Linked DNA regions of Drosophila melanogaster. Changing the gene in region 1 together with any one later gene gives a genetic interaction. Each region holds a gene or a part of one and is shown on either strand. Other genes may lie near its edges.

Region 1 (8,350 bases):
TGTCATATTGCAAGCTGAAATTCGATGTGGCTTACCATGAGGAGTGTCGCGAAGGATGCTGGGTTTTATCGGAGTGGTCAACTGTGAGTTTAGCACAACATTTGTTAATCGGAACGAATCCTAAGCCATATATATTCTCCATCGTAGTGCTCCAAGTCGTGTGGCACTGGTTCCCAGCAGCGTGAAGCTCACTGCTACCTACACAATTCCCGTGTCAGCGATGATCTGTGCAATCCACGGACCAAGCCCCATTTGAACACCCTAATCGGGATCTGCAACACTGAGTCGTGTCCCACGTACACGAAATCACCTGTAAGTCACTGAAATCGGAGGAATTAATGCATATATTAATCCTTCTTATCCCATAGAATGCCCTGGCAGTTAGTAACTGGGTGATTGGAGAATGGGGCGAATGCAATGAGTGGTGCGAGAAGACTCGTTCTGTGAGTTGTTCACATCCATACGGAATCGGCTGCGGCAGTAGAAAGCCCAAGGACGTCCGCAAATGCTGCCACATCAAGTACACCAGCGATTGGACAGACGTGAGTTGTCCTGCAACTGCCAATAGATCCATGAAATTAAATTTTTTACCCTTCATAGTGTTCGGTGCAATGTGGCGAGGGCGTCAAGAGGAAGAAGCAAAGCTGCACGCGGGTCTACAAGCCGGATGTTCCGGGTACCCGAAAGCGCCGAGTGTACGTGGATGAATCGTACTGCATTAGCCGAAAGGTGCATCGTCCCAAGCTGCGCACCACCACCAAATCCTGCAGGATCAACTGCAAGTGGAATGCCTCGGACTGGAGGCGCTGTCCTGCTGACTGCTCGGAGGAGTACCAAACGCGTGATGTGCGCTGCGAGTCCTTCCAGGGTGACGGAGTGGAGGACAAGCACTGCGATGCCAAGAAGCGTCCATCCAAGCGACGCATCTGCAACAACTGCGTGCGCCGGCAGTCGAGAGTCATCTCGCAGGTGAGTTGGCCACTTGGAAAGCTTCCTTTCGATAGAGTTACTATCCCACCTCCCTTTCCAGTGCAACTGTGAGGGTGTGGAGAAGAGGCGGGACTTCTGCTTCAACTCGCACAAGGGTCGCATCGCGTGTCCCACGAGAGCCAGGGTGGAGCGTCACAGCTGCACTCCGCCGCCACATTGCCGAAGGAGAAGTGCCATCGGGAGCAGCATCAGCAGCAGACCGAGGGGCACTGGAGTGAGTAGCAGCAGGAGCTTGAATTCAATCGGAGGCTCACGGAATCGCGGAACACCGAGAAGCTGTGCGGACCTGAAGGAGATGCACGGCTACAACAAGGATGGCAACTACCAGCTGGAGGTGAGATCGCGAATGGTGCACATCTACTGCCACGGGATGAACAGCAGGACGCCACAGGAGTACGTGAACGTGGATCCGCAGGAGAACTACTCCATATACTACGAGTACAGGACGAAACAGACCAACAGCTGTCCGCCGGAGTCGCGAGGCCACGAGTACTACAACGATCAGAACTCCGGCCGGACGCACTTCAGAAAGCTGCGGCTGAATATCACCGATCTGCGCATCATGGACAACGACTTCAAGTTCGCCGATTCGCGAGGATTGGCTCAGAAGCTGGGATCAGCGGGCGATTGCTACAATCGCATTGGCCAGTGTCCGCAGGGCGACTTCTCGATTAACATGAAGGACACGGACTTCTCCATACGACCGGGAACCGTGTGGCGGATGCATGGCCAGTACTCGGTCATGAAGCGTATCAGTGAGGTATGTCAGTCACTCAATTATCAAAAAGGATCATTGCCTATATATATATGCTATTCCCGTTTTCAGTTTGATACGACCACGCAGATGCGAAGGGGATTCTGCGGAGGATACTGCGGCGGTTGCTATATAGCGCCCGATTCTGGCCTTTACCTGGACGTGTTATGACTGAAACCACTGAGTAGTCAGCGGGAAACTTTGTTTGACCTTCCCACGGTAATCGGGTCTACGTCCCGGGAAGGACCAAGGGTAAAGTTAATCCGAGCATCCCAGCATATCAGGGTTACCCCAGCCAAGAATTACCACTACGGAGAGTCGCCGCTATCGATGGTTAAAAGTATTCTCGAATATTAGTTAGTTATATATAAACTGTAATAATCGTGTCGAAGTAGCCCGAACAAAACCATATCGTCTGTATATATATATAATTATATTTCGCTCGAAATTAGTAACTAGATATTATTGCCATGTAATGTATTAAGTATTGTAAATACTAGAGGATGTGAGCCTTTGAATTAGCAAATAGGGATTATCCATCATCATAGGTCGTCGCTCAGATAAGCCCGTATTTGTGCCAACTCCGGTATGCAGTGATGGAAGATGCAAAGATATCCTTTGCCTAGGTAAAGTCAGCAATGGGAACAATACCAAGAAGTGCATTTCAAGCAATAATTTAATTTAATTAAAATATACTTACACTTTCCTCTGCTCCATCCCCAACAATTATTCCGATTATTCCCTGAAACAAGCCTAGGGCATCCATCCATCCATCACTCACCGAAAACGAAGAGCTCGGCTAAACTAGTGCAATGCCGGTCTGTACAATAGTTGTATTAGCTTAGCTCCGCAATTAGTTAGTTAAGAGAGAGAGAGAGAAGTTGGGAGCAAATGTATGTGTAACTAAAACGAATACTCATATTATTTAGGATACCCCCCGATCGCACAAGCCAAACCAAACTATTCATCAAATCGAATTAACACTCTTGATTGATTGTTATCACTGCCAGATTTTCAACGTTCAATCGATTGTATCCCAAATCGCCTAAGTCCCGGTACCAAGTATCCTCGCTGTATTTTCATTTAACTAGCTAGGCTAATGCAAAACCAATGTTAACAATTAATTTAATGTCAATTAAAAGGAATTTAAAGCTGTTACCAACCAAACGTGGTTCGCACCTCCAGGGCTTTTCAGTACACGGGGGGGGGGCGGGTAATAGAAAAATGTATTTATTTAAAATATTTAATAGTTTTAATGGAAGATATATTTGGCTTTCAATTCACTGACTAGGGTTAAAAGCTCCTCATATACATTTGATTGCTACTCGACATGGAGCACAGCCACGACTCTTACGATTAGTTCTTCAAAGTAAAAATCCGCTATACCGCTGCCGATGAAATGGCCATGAAGGATGAGCACCGACAACCGGAGGTTGCCTCTGATTATCTGCTGTGAATCTGAGTTGGATGATAATTGTTGTGCGATGGGTTCGCTGCTTTTGTCTATCACTGTCCGAGCCGAGGTTGTTGGGTAGCTCGATGGGTGCTTGTTGGTCGCTGCTGGTTGCTGCCTTTGAAGAGCTTTCGCGGCGGGCGAAAGACTTAAAAGCATTTGCGGTGAACGATTCCGGGGCCGGACTCGTCGTACTCCTGCTTCGAGATCCACATCTGCTGGAAGGTGGACAGCGAGGCCAGGATGGAGCCACCGATCCAGACGGAGTACTTCCTCTCGGGTGGCGCAATGATCTTGATCTTGATGGTCGATGGGGCCAGGGCAGTGATCTCCTTCTGCATACGATCGGCAATACCTGAAAGTGCACCAAAGGATTAAGCACAAGTGCAACTGCTGAAGCGAATGATTTGTCTTACCAGGGTACATGGTGGTACCGCCGGACAGCACAGAGTTGGCATACAGATCCTTGCGGATGTCCACGTCGCACTTCATGATCGAGTTGTAGACGGTCTCGTGGATGCCGCACGACTCCATGCCCAGGAACGAGGGCTGGAACAGAGCCTCGGGGCAGCGGAAGCGCTCGTTGCCAATGGTGATCACCTGGCCGTCAGGCAACTCGTACGACTTCTCCAGCGAGGTGGAGGCGGCAGCGGTGGCCATCTCCTGCTCGAAGTCCAGAGCCACGTAGCACAGCTTCTCCTTGATGTCGCGCACGATCTCACGCTCGGCGGTGGTGGTGAAGCTGTAGCCGCGCTCCGTCAGGATCTTCATCAGGTAATCGGTCAGATCGCGACCAGCCAGATCCAGACGCAGAATGGCGTGGGGCAGGGCGAAGCCCTCATAGATGGGCACGGTGTGGGAGACACCATCGCCGGAGTCCAGCACAATACCGGTGGTACGACCGGAGGCGTACAGGGAGAGCACGGCCTGGATGGCCACGTACATGGCCGGCGAGTTGAAGGTCTCGAACATGATCTGGGTCATCTTCTCGCGATTGGCCTTGGGGTTCAGTGGAGCCTCGGTCAATAATACTGGATGCTCCTCGGGGGCCACGCGCAGCTCGTTGTAGAAGGTGTGATGCCAGATCTTCTCCATGTCGTCCCAGTTCGTGATGATGCCGTGCTCGATGGGGTACTTCAGCGTCAGGATACCGCGCTTGCTTTGCGCCTCGTCGCCCACGTACGAGTCCTTCTGACCCATACCCACCATCACACCCTGGTGTCGGGGACGACCCACAATTGAGGGGAAGACAGCACGGGGAGCGTCATCACCGGCGAAGCCGGCTTTGCACATGCCCGATCCGTTGTCGATAACTAATGCACCCGCATCATCGTCACACATCTTGGCAGTTGTTTATCTGGAAGGGAGATGGAAGTGCACTCGGTTAGCTCGATCTGTCGATTATATATGTAAAGTTTTATAGCTCCCACCTACATCTCAATTCTTTAAATTCTACTACTTTAATGACAACATAGAAAACTAATTTGTGTCTCAAGAAAATATTTAACTTTTTAAGATATTGAAGAAGTGAAGTGAAACTCTATTGTCCATTTGAGCACATTTCAGTAAATAAAACCATGAAAAATTGCCAAAATTGGTATATTCCATTTCCTTTTGACTCATGCTAATATGGTTATTCACTTGAAACTAAATCAGTGCTCTATAAATATCGGAAAAGAATAGTTCATAGAACTTAATTTAAACGTATCAAATTAATTGAAAATACGTTTCGTTGCAATTACTCTTCACTTTATATTTAGATATTGAACTTTCGAAGACCGATTAGTGACTTGTAGAAAAATCCATCAAACAATCCGAACTTATTAAAAAGAGTTTTAATATCCTTAGTCCTCTTGGCTTTTTCTGTAATAATCCTTGGATCCTTCGACATTGAGGTCGCACTCACACACCTTTTAGGTCAACGAAAGGAGAAAAATTGGATAGAGTCGCACGTTCGATTCCTGTTGACAACTAGATTCAACAACAAATGGCACGCCGATCGGTCTGTCCTGCCTTTATATCTCGGCTCTCCCTCGAAGCGATTTGAGTTGGATGCCAGTGCGGCACTGAGAAAAAGATTGAGCGAAAGTGCTGCGGAACAATCGATCCATATAAGCAGTTTTCAGACTTCTGGCCGAGCATGTCAGAAGTTTGGATGCCTCATTGCACGAAGACGACTCATTAATGCGCTTCACAAAAAAAGGAAGCCACACAATTAAATACTTAATAAAGCATAGAATCATTTATTAAGATTACCAATAAATTCAATAAACGAGGGAATTTCCAAACTACGAAAATATGACATTTTATATTTTTTTCACATTGTTAGTAGGTACAAATCCTAGAAAAGGGTCTCATAACATATAACAGCTTAAATAACTATGTAGTAGAAGATAAACTTTATCTTCAATTCAGTTCATATTTAATCCTAGAAATATTTAATTAATTGACAATATATGATAGAAGTAAGCTATCAATCTTAGGACCCTATTCATTATTTGTAGGGAGTGCCAGGAGAGAGAAAGCTCTCGAAAGATAAGAGAACGCCATAGCCGAGTGATTAGCAGAGGTGCGTGATAGTCGGAGCATGGGCCATCTAAACGGCAATCAGCACTCTCGAGTGGCCAATTAGCCCCATCTCCGTCCCCATCTCTGTCCCAATCCTGCTGCCAATGGGCGACTGCTGCGGCGGACGACTCATTCGGTGCTGAGAGTTCGGAAAATAGAAACGGACCTTAGAAGGACCGACGCAAGACAATTGGCATCCGCGGCAGGGACTGGGAGAATGGGACATTTCAACGGGCACGCAGCGAGGCGAATCTAAAATAGACGCGCCAAGCAGAGCGGCACCTATAAATCAACATCAAGGTTGATCGAGATCTCCGCGCGCGGTGCTCGAGGAAGCTGCATCCACATTTGCAATCGCATTCTACAGAATGCTGCTGCACTTTGCATTGCGGCGCCGATGCAATCCCGAAGATGCGAAATCACCGTGCCGACCATTTATCAGTGCAATTAACCAACCATTGCCAGCCAGACCGAGCGAAAATGTATTTTCTCAATCGAACTGTATTTATCCTTTTATGTAGATTTAATTATTTTTTACTTCTTTCTATTTACGTTTTTATTGCTTGCCCACATGAATAATCGAATGCGGTTGGTCTAAAGATAGGATCTGATTGCTCGGAAGTGAATTGGTGGCATTCCCAAAGCGTTTTATTTGGTAATTGCCTTGATTGACATCGTGTATTGAGCAAGAGGTTAGTGGCTGCGAACAGAATTGTTCACCATTCTTATCTTTATTTTTTAATTTATGAAAAGTCATTCAACCACTGAATTGATTGGGCTCACCATTTATTTAAAAATTCATATCTTAACTAAATTTGCCTATTGTGCATTCTAGATATTTCTGAATTATACTTTTATTTCGGCAAATTGATATAATTGTGAAAAATATTTTAGAAATTTAAGTGTTTTTTTAAAAATTACACTTCTACTGCACACTTTTGTTCTCTTTCTATCGAAAGATAAATTAGTAATTAATTAATTTAATTACTATAACATTATGTAAACATCGTTAAATATTTGTATACCTATTTGTACGGTTTCAGGAATAATTTCTATTGGATTTGTATTGATGTACGTAAGAATTTCCCACGATTTATTTATTTGAATATTTCGTAGTCGAGACAAGAACCATAAACTAAAAGCATGCAAGTCTTAGCATACTTTTCGGCTGAAGTAAAAGCCAATCATAGATGGCGCTGTAATGCACAGCGAATGGTCTTTCACTTAACAGCATTTAAACGAGTTTATGATTTTCTATCTGAAAAGAAGAGAATATGACACATCGAATGGCTCCGAAGATAAATAATATATTGAAATAGCTCCAGCACGGGCCCCTGAAAAAAAAAGCTCGACGGAACCCGTTTCCGCTAGCGCACCTATTGTCGGTGAAAGAGCGCCAAGCGAAAGCCAAGCGACAGAAACGTGCTCCAAAACGAAAGACTTAAGACCCGAACCTGAACCTCAAGCAGAAATAGAAGCAGAAGCAGAATGAGAAAAGCAAAACCGAGGCGAGCTCGAAAAAGAAAGTGCAAGTGGACGCAGATACTTTAGTATTCCGTCAGCGGAGTCGGGCTTATTTTCTTACTTCGTCTTGCGTCTGTGTTGGTGCTCGTTTCACGGGCAGAGCGCGCCGCTGGAGACCGAGACCGAGACCCAGACCCACAGCCACAGCCACTTCACCAGCACCACCACCATCATGATCACCGCCATGGTAACCAGCACCACCACAATCATCACCGCAGGCAAAGTTAAAGCCAAAACCTGAGCCACGAGCGCGTTGGCGATGACGACGCCGACTGAGGCTGCGGCTGAGCAGCGGCCGCGCAGCTTGACCCACTTTTTGGCCCATACAATCAGAATGTTTCATGTTTCGATTTTATTATTTTATTTTCTGTTTCTCTTTTCGGCTATCTTTTCGATTTGCTGGTCAGCAACGTGTATGTGTGTCTATAGTATGTATGCGTATGTAAGTGTGTATGTATGAGTGCGAAGTTACTTTTTCTTTTCTTGCAGCTTGGCTGCTCTCATTGAAGTTGTAGGCCTATGCGAGATACGTGTGTAGATACAAGAACCATTTATTTATTTCGTGGCATGACTTTCGAAAAATTGTTTTATATTTCACTCGCCGCTGCGTTGCTGTGCGGGGGAAAAATTCACTGCCAACGGAGATATTACTTTCAGATTCCATACTCGCTCATTAAAGGGGTAGCGAAAAATCAATCTGGATTGAGCATTTAGAAGAACAAATGATCTGCTCATCCATGGTTGTCGGATTTTCGTTTGCTGCATGTTGCTGTTACTGTTGCTGTTGCTGCTGCGTTGCTGCCGGCAGCATGACATAAACTTTCGATTGTCTGCCCGTCACATAACTGTTACTCGTCTTCTGCCTCGGTTTCCCCACAGCTCCATCTCCGATTTCCATTTCCATCGCCTTCTTCTCGTTCTTTTGGCCATTTCTTCTCCGCTACCACATCAATTTGGACTTTGGGCTTAAATGGGTAATTGGGTCAGACCCCGTTGGCTGCTTTCGGGAAATGTTCATTTCACTTAAAATTCTTTGGCTTATATTTTTGGTTTGTTAGTCA
Region 2 (8,791 bases), on another chromosome or scaffold:
TTCGAACTGTATCTGGATATTTGGAGGTGTTGTTTGACTGTGCGTGTGTGTGTGTGTGTGAGTGCGCTGGTATTTCTTGGTGTGGGAGTGGGTGAGTGTGTTTTTGTGAGACTAATCTACTCGAGAAATGGCACCTACACTTCCATTCTTAAACAGAACACATCCTCACTGGAGTGACATATAGAAAGAGACCTGCATTAATCGGGTGAGTATACGGAGATACGGATACGGATACGCATACGGAGCTAATTGAGCCATTGAGTTTCTGTACAGTTTTTAGTGCCTGGGCGAATAACACTTTTCACGAACATATATAGAGTGTATTATACAGTAAACAGATTGAGAGTGAGATAGTGTTTTAGATATATAGAAAGAGACAGCTGACAGAAGGTGTGTTTATATTGTTGTTGTTAAGCGTTAGCTTTTGATTTTGATCGTGGATAGACTTAGGCGTATTTAGGTGGCGTATATAAAATTGGTGGTGTTCGTGTACCTCAACATCCTTGCGTTTAACAACATACTCAAGATCATATTTCTGGTCCTCCAATTTATTAATCCTGTCATAGTGTTGCTTGATCAGAGATTTGAGTGTGTCTGTTCACAATGGGGTTTTTATATTCGGTTTTTCGGAGTGGTTCGGAGTTGGTTGTGGTTGTGGAATGGGGTGTTGGTTGTGTTGGAGAGGGTTGGTGGTGGTGGTGGTGGTGGTGGTGTGTGTGTGTGGATCGATTGGATATTTAACGGGCATGGGTGCGGCAAAAGAGAGATAGAGATAGAGACACATTTAGATACATGTTGCACACAGTGGTTCAGGCATAATAAGACTATGGTTCCTCTGCGACGTCAATGTGATCCGATGTGGGAGGTCGGTTATCCTGTGTGTGTTTGGTGTGTGTTTTTGGTGTCTTCGTGTTGGTGTGTTATGTAATTGTATGTATGTATGCGATAGATGACACTTGTTCAACTTTCAGTTATCGATTTTGGTTTATGCTTCGCGACAGGCGGGCTTAAACATATTGAATGCATAAGCCGCCTATCTGTTTTACTGATTGATTTCGTTTATTTCGATTATATGGTTTTTCATCCTTTATACTTTCGAACCGTGACCAGGTGCAGGGAAACCTCTAGGGATTTCCACTCGCCTGATCAGGGATCTTAATCATTCGGTTCGAGGACCGAGGCTACTCACCTTCGCTGGCATCGCTGAGATTCCTGGGACTGCCGCAACGTTCTTCGATGATGCGTCTACGTTCAGCCGCTTTGCGTTCCTGTTCTTTCTTCAGCTCCTCAGCGGCTTTCTTACGCAGCAGCAACTGCAAGTGGAGGGCTTTGATTAGCTGGCGATCATACAAAGCGTTGGTATATGCTGGAAACTTACCCTGAGTTTCTTCTTCCTCTCTGGGGTCATGAAACCCTTCTTGGCCTTCTTGGCCTTGGAGGCTTCCTCCATGCGCTTGCGCACCTCAGCACGCTTGCGCTCGATCTCAGCCTGTTTAGCCTTCTTAGCCTGCAAATTAAATGAACGAACAATCCGGGTATCAGCATGGTTTGCTCACATCCAAAACTGGACACAACACTAGATATGATATTCGAACACAGCACTGCACAGCACGAGACTTGGACTTTGACATGGACGTTAAGTTGAACGGGCACACACGTACACAAGTGTACCTCCTCGGCCTTCACTTTGGGGTCGTTGGGATCCTTGGGCGGACCGGCGGGAGCGGCGGCAGCTGCCGGAGCAGCCTTTCCATTGGCCGCCGGAGCAGCCTTGCCATTGGCCGCCGGGGCTGCTGCCGGAGCCGCCGGTTTGGCCGCCGCCGCTGGAGCTGCGGCCGGAGCTGCTGCCTTTTTCTGAAATCAAGTTAAATGATTGCTGGTTAGTTGCAGTTCTAGGAATCGAAAAAGTACGCCAGGCTAGGAGAAAATTGCTTAAACTTCAAAGGAACTATTAACATTTCTCAATCATCCACAATTATTTAAAGTAATCAAATAGGTTTTAAACTCATTTAAATTATATAAGAATGGTCAGCCAAGTTTTATTGGTTGTAATATTTCATTGATTTTAAACTACTTTAAATAGATCTCAAATTTCTCCAGGCACAAACGCGACGATAACAAAAAAAGGGACAAAGCAAGGCACAGAGACATAGACACACACTAACGATAACAGACATGGCTTTCAGTCAGACTTGACAGTTATCATTATCTGTGCTCCTTGATCGAAAGGAAGAAATGGCTGGGATTCAGAGGGTTGCAAAGCGCAGCGATCCTGTGAAAGCAAGAGAAAGGCAAAGAAAGGCTTGGGTTGCATGTTGCGTGGTTGCAAGTGGGGGGCTGTTGAAGCTTCTGGATTGTTCGGGAGCTTTGCTTACCTAAATCCACATCCAGTCAGGTTTAATCCCGTCCAAATCACTTCCAATTTCCAAAACAGTGCTTGCGATTAATGCCCCAAAATAGTTAACTGAAGAAGAGGGTCAAAGGTTAATCAACCGTTTCTCAAAGGCGGTAGAAAGGGGGCCGTTGGAGATACTCACCTCACCTCATCATCAGCCATTTTGATTTGTGTTTTTGGTTACTGAAAGTAAGAGAAATCGAGAGGTGAACTCAAGGAACTGGAACTGGAGGCAAATGGTGAATGGTGAATGGTGAATGGAAATGTTCGATGACATCATTTCCATTGCCCTATATATACACGGCTATATGTAGGTATATACATATAAGTATGTGTTTATATATATATATATATATGTTCCATAAATCAGTCGCTCTCTCTCCCATTCGCACACGCCTACGATCTCACCGGGGTACCACAGTGCGTATGCGCCATATTGCTGGCATATGCCGCATATTACGTATACGCAGCATTGGTTCACGCCGTATATGGGAGGACAACCCCAGCAAACGCTCATTTTCCCGCTCTCTTCGCTTAGCCTTTCTTTCGCACATTTACTTTGGCGTGGGCGTCTAGCTGCCAGAAAAAGACAACTGTATTGCTTTGTGGCTTTTCTAGTTGCTCTCTTTGATATCCGATTTCAAGTGAGCAAAGAGAGAATAGCATTTCCCAACTGACCGATCTCAGCCAGCTGATTTTGTTAATGGAAACTTTCCTACGATATGTTTTCGTTTTAATCAAGCTAAAAGTTAAATCGTTAGTATAGAAGTAACTTTTACATATGCATACTTGATCAGATGATTGATCGTTGTAATGGCATTTTAAAAATACATTTTATGCTGAATAACATATTGGGAATCTTTAAGTAAACATTATGAGATTTCATCATACGAAAAACCATGTCTACATCTTGAGGAATTAATCAGAATTTATTTGCTAGCCTATCCGTATAGTATGTATATGTATACATTTTTACTGAAATGAAGTCGAAGAATTAACACCTCACAAAGTACATATATAACTTTAAAAAGTCTACTAGCGTTGAAAGTAATCGTTAAACAAATTATCTATGCTGTTAGCAATGAACTAAAATAATGTACAATGAGTCAAAAGGAGATCCGTTATAGATTTTATATCCTTTGGAAGAAGTTGTATATTTTGGGGTTTTCACACCTACAAAGCCATATGGCTTAGTAGAACGAATTGCTAGGGAGCTAGGCGTATATTTAGCCCCAGCAATTTGCGCACCTTAGCGAAGGTAAGGCGTGAAAATTTTCTGACAATGACGACCTTCGGCTATGTACACTGCGAGAAATGCACAACGAATTTAAGCATAGTCGATGTCTCCACTCGGCATACATCTGAGAATGAGAGCGAGTGGGATGGCATCTACTGTATCTAGTATCTGACTGATTTAAAAATAAACCTGTTGATAGATACACGAATCTCGGATGCGAGAAATATGGCAGCTATTTATGATTTGCCGTACAATTTGTTTATATGTTCACGGAAAAAAAATAGTCAAATTGGAGCAACGATATTCGTATCGAATATGAAATCCAAAAGTTCGGAGAGCATTTATCCAGTTATTTTACGTAGGCGACGTGTGCGTGTTGTTTCTCTGTGTGTGAGTGTATGATTTTCTGTGTGTGCGTGTGTGTGTGTGATTTTTCTCTCTCTCGGGATCTCTTGTTCTCGCTGTGGTCTATTTTCAGGCACTTTTCGAGCGATTTTAGCTTTTTTGAAATGTATCTTGTATCTGCGGGATACATTTTTAGCTTTCGGCACGCACACACACGCATACACGCACACACACACGGCAACTTCTTACGTAATTGGCAAGCCAATCCGTGAAAAAAAATTCATTGCAAAATCAAGTCAAAATAATGTTGAAAAGTATTTCGATGCAGTTTTAGACACTTGTTAACTTGTATCACTTGAAAAAAAATAGCAAAAAAATTGTTTGAAAAAAAATGTTTGAATCCTCTGGGCACACGCACACGATTTTGGTCAGGTCCAGACATACATATAAATATAAATATATATATATATATGTATAGCATATGAGAAAGGACTGAGGATTTCACATTTGTTTTTCTTTGCATTAGCATTAGCATTTGCATTTTGCATTTTGCAGTTTTCTGTTTTTCCATTCCGCTTGTTCTTGCATTGTTGCTCGTTGTCAATGTTGATGGTGATGTTTTTCTTGGCTTTTTGAATGTTGCTCCGCTTCAAGCACTCACCTTCAAGGAATTAGAAAAAAAAGAAAAAAAATTCGGCTATGCTGTCGATCACACGAATCGGATGATACTGAACGACACAAAAAGACTGAACGGTCCGACGATCCACGGCAGACTATATTCTAGCGGCTAGCCACCCAACGGATACAGATACGGATCGTTGTTGATCGGATCGCATCGTATCGCATCGTCTCGTTCGGCTCGGTTCCGTTATGTTCCGAAAGCCAAACGTTAGCCGCCCACCTGCCCACCGTCCTTCACGAACGGGCGAGAGCGAGAGAGAGCGAGAGTGGCTCGGGGGCCGGGGTTATGTATCTGGGCGTGAGATCCAAAAATAGATCCCACCAAAACTGACATGGCAGAGCACAGCCCATAAGCAAAATCGAAATGGATACCGAAAAGTGTTCGGCTCACGATCGTCGCAGCCGAGTGGCATGCCGAATCGATTCCGAATCCGAATCCGATTGCGATTGCGATTGCGATTGCGATCCCGATCCCGTAACTCCCGCCCCGTCGGAACTGCAGACCCGTAAACCACCCTATGAAAAATACCGCTTGGAGAATCTTTGTATCTCTGTATCCGCATCGGTGTTCACAATATCGTATCTGCAGTTCGATGTGTGTGCTGGTGTAAACGGAGCCGCTTGGAATTCAATGCAATGGATAAAAATAGGTTTTGTTGCTCCAGTTGGGAGGCTATGCGATGGCGGTGCAATCGGTGTGCAATGAAAAAATCAGGGCCGGCGACTGGCTGCAATCTCTGGTTTCGCCAGCCCTGGTTAAAAAACTATAAAATATTATGCTAATTCTGGAAAATCCAGGGAATAAGCTTGTGCTGGGATATGCATATATTGAATATATATTCATTTTCAATGTAATCTACTTCAACAGCAAATACTAATGAAACTAAACATTATCTTAAAATAGGTGCATGCAGCGTTATTTTAAAGATTAGATTTATAACTCCTATCGAACATTTATCCTCATAAACATAACTAATATTTCGATGAGTTGACTGAATACAAATTACTGTTTTCTTTAGAAGACTGCAGTTTTTAAGAAAAATAGGTTAATAACCCTTACATACATATATTGCTGAAAATATATTAGATAAAATTGGGGAATCCCATAGATTCTTAACTTATTTAATTTGAAGATTATTACTATTTAATCCATCCAATATCATTTCCAGGTCTTAAAGTAATTATTCCGTTTGTGTTCATTTAAAAGGTTTTTCTTAGACCGTGCCACTTTGGACTTGATCTAGAAAAACCATTTTAACGATCTGTTTCATGTTGTTCGGCTATTTATCTTGCATGTTGGCCGCTGACATAACTTTAAGCTTTCGAATAATGTGTTCCAAGCGAATCGTACGAACATATAGCCTATATCCGTCTTGTTAATATCAATGTTTTAGCTGAATTACTTTGGCATCGTCAGTCTAAATATAATGTATATACGCAATATGGCCAAATACACACATACACATATATATATATATATATATATGTATATATATATAAATTTCTATATATAATGGTAAACGGTGCGAATGACGCTGCAACACACCTACTGAAAATCACGCATACGCCCCGTAGACGAAACGCCTTGCAACTTTGGTTGAAAGTAATTTTCGAATTTCGCCAAGAACGAAAGACGAATAAAACGTTTCGATCACGAAACCATGTCTATATATATATATATATATCGTATATGAATTTAGATATACATAGACTGTCTATACGTATGTTCCGATTCTATAAACTTTCAGCAGGGAGAGCAACAACAAAATATTGTTGAAAATAATGTTGCTTTTCCCTGCTCATCTCGTTGTTCTTGGCATTTTGTGTTTCTGTTTGTGTTGCTTGTTTTTGATTTTGCCACGGCTTGTTCTAGCTCTATTTCGAAATGTATTTTCGATGATTTCTATTTTGTTTTTCCCCATTTAAATTTAGAATATGGCTTCCAGGGGGGAAATCGAAAAAACGGCGACTGCGGAAGGGCAGTGGGTTAGCTTGGGGCAAAATGTTTTCGTTATTCGTAGGGAACTTGATCAGTTCGTCTATGTCTGGACGAATCTATTTTCGCCTTCATTCTCGTTCCGAGCGTTTTTAAACAATTCCGCTGCGCGCCCAAGCAATTTTTGCCTTAATTTATGAATTTCGAAAATGTTTTTCGTTTGAAAAAACACTTTTAATATTGTGCCTTATTTTTGGGCCTTTGGCAAACAGGAAATATTGAATCGGACGGGGGTGGGCTATAATGCCGACCAGTATTACTAGAAAAGCGGTAATGTCTTACAGCGTCGAAAATGTGTATACATTGGCAATAAGTAAACTTTAATAAAGCAATGTTGCAACATGGGCGGAATATTTGCACGAATCGAGGCCTTAAAGGTGGGCAGTGTGGTGTGCCCAGTGAATCGAGCTTAATTCGGGGTTAAAGGCGAACCATCGATGGTCAGCTGGCTGCGAGTGCGTCAAAGCAAAACAAACGTCATAAGCGCCCACCCCCGCCCCCCCCCTCTGAGCCGCCCACTGTGGGCGTGGCCTTGCAACGTTCGCTCTACCTGACAACTATTTGTCGCTGCTGTCGTCGTCGTCGTCGTCGTCGTCGTTGTCGTCTGCCCGCCGAACTCCCCCTCCATAACCAGAACCAACACCACTCCCCAGCTGTCGCTGACCCATTTAGGGTTATATACACACAAACAGGCACTCGCATCCTTATCCTCCCTGCACCGTATATAAATATATATATGTATATATATAATATGTATATGTATTTATATATGCTGCATGCACTCGCATTATGTATGTACATAGGTGCTGGGTGCACTCATGGTAGCCGTCAGAATTCGCTTACTCCGGCTGGTCCTGCGAAATATTTAAATAACCCTGCCCAAGTTCGCCTTAGAGTTGGCAAAGTTATCGCAAATTTAATTAAATCAACTAAACGGATTACAGTTTCAAATGCACTTTTGGTGCACGTATTGGTTGCACATCTCCAAGGATTAACTGCGTTTGTCGGTTACAGTAACTAATTTTGTTGCATCAAAGGGCGGCTGAAAAGCACGAAACTTGTGCTGTGGCGTAAGTATAATCAATTATTCAGAATGAAACTTTTGCAAGCTAGTATTATGATAAGAAAGTGGGGGAAATAATGCGATTAGCATGGATAATAGGATTAATAAGTAGCTTTATTACAGAGGCATTTATTTGGCATGAAGTTAAATGTCTTTATATTGTAGATTGAAAAATGCTTTTATCTAAACAAATACCTAGTTAAATGCTGCGTACGTTATTATTTATAATTTATTTATAATTTCTATAGCTACACTACTGCTAACAGTTGGGCCATTTCTATTTGGCTTCTTTAAAACTAGCTCAATATTTTCCGTTGTTGTTTTCATGGAGTAGTTCGTATCTCGGATAATCGCCTATTTTTAGGGACTTGTGTTTATACCCTTGTACTTTTTCTATGGCTTTCCACATTTTCCACATTGATGACGTGCAACCGCACGCACACAGGCGCAGTCGTTCACACCGATAGCATGCGTGTGCAGCTTGTAGTGTATTTGCACTAGTTTCGCCGCCAGTGACGTCATAGTTTCCACGCAGACGTCATCAGGAGGCAGCGAGGTCAGTCCATGCAACATGCAACATGGTGCAGGAACAGGAATATGATGCGGATTCCATGTGCACGCGTTCGTGGAAGGCAAAATGGCGCCTAATTGATTGATGGTCCAGTAAGCTGAGGTCAATCAAGGGGCCCCAATTTCCACGACCATTCCACACAGACTTTTGAAAATATTCTCGCCGAACAGCATATCAAATGTGTGGTTTAAAATGATATGGAAAATTACCAAAAAGATACTCATATTGCATCGATTTATTTCTGTAAGGCCTTGAATGCACACATGTATCTTAAATATATCTGAAAATTATCACAAAATATCCCTTTCATATCCTTGTTGCTTTTTAGGAATACATAGTAACTGCGAATTCAATGCCTAATTAGAAGACTTATCAAGTCAAAATGTGTGTTCCTCATGAAAGGAATGCCAGTTGAGCTAATGCTATTCATTTAAATTCGAGAACGATTAAGCATTTTGTTCCGAGTGCTTTTGTAAGCCGTCGGACGTCATTGGTCTTCATTA

Evidence for each region.
Region 2: of Act88F (region 1) and wupA, changing one suppresses a phenotype caused by changing the other (phenotypic suppression), as found in Drosophila melanogaster (one study listed by BioGRID).

Annotation. Positions count from the first base shown.
Region 1 is NT_033777.3:15,436,804-15,445,153, reverse strand, and holds Act88F (actin 88F), read right to left. Parts: upstream 5,186-8,350; 5' UTR 5,108-5,185; intron 4,555-5,107; 5' UTR 4,539-4,554; coding exon 3,614-4,538; intron 3,553-3,613; coding exon 3,347-3,552; 3' UTR 2,977-3,346; downstream 1-2,976. Other genes in the region: AdamTS-A (ADAM metallopeptidase with thrombospondin type 1 motif A), read left to right, coding at 1-83, 148-312, 369-542, 601-969, 1,031-1,750, 1,817-1,915.
Region 2 is NC_004354.4:18,112,069-18,120,859, forward strand, and holds the start of wupA (wings up A), read right to left. Parts: upstream 4,758-8,791; 5' UTR 4,639-4,757; intron 2,667-4,638; exon of another isoform or gene 2,579-2,666; 5' UTR 2,558-2,578; coding exon 2,543-2,557; exon of another isoform or gene 2,538-2,542; intron 2,465-2,537; exon of another isoform or gene 2,376-2,464; intron 1,855-2,375; coding exon 1,672-1,854; exon of another isoform or gene 1,662-1,671; intron 1,508-1,661; coding exon 1,379-1,507; intron 1,314-1,378; coding exon 1,190-1,313; intron 595-1,189; coding exon of another isoform or gene 494-594; intron 1-493. UniProt on the Drosophila melanogaster protein: Troponin I is the ATPase inhibitory subunit of troponin in the thin filament regulatory complex. Involved in the development and maintenance of muscle and nervous system. May also be involved in the cytoskeletal apparatus.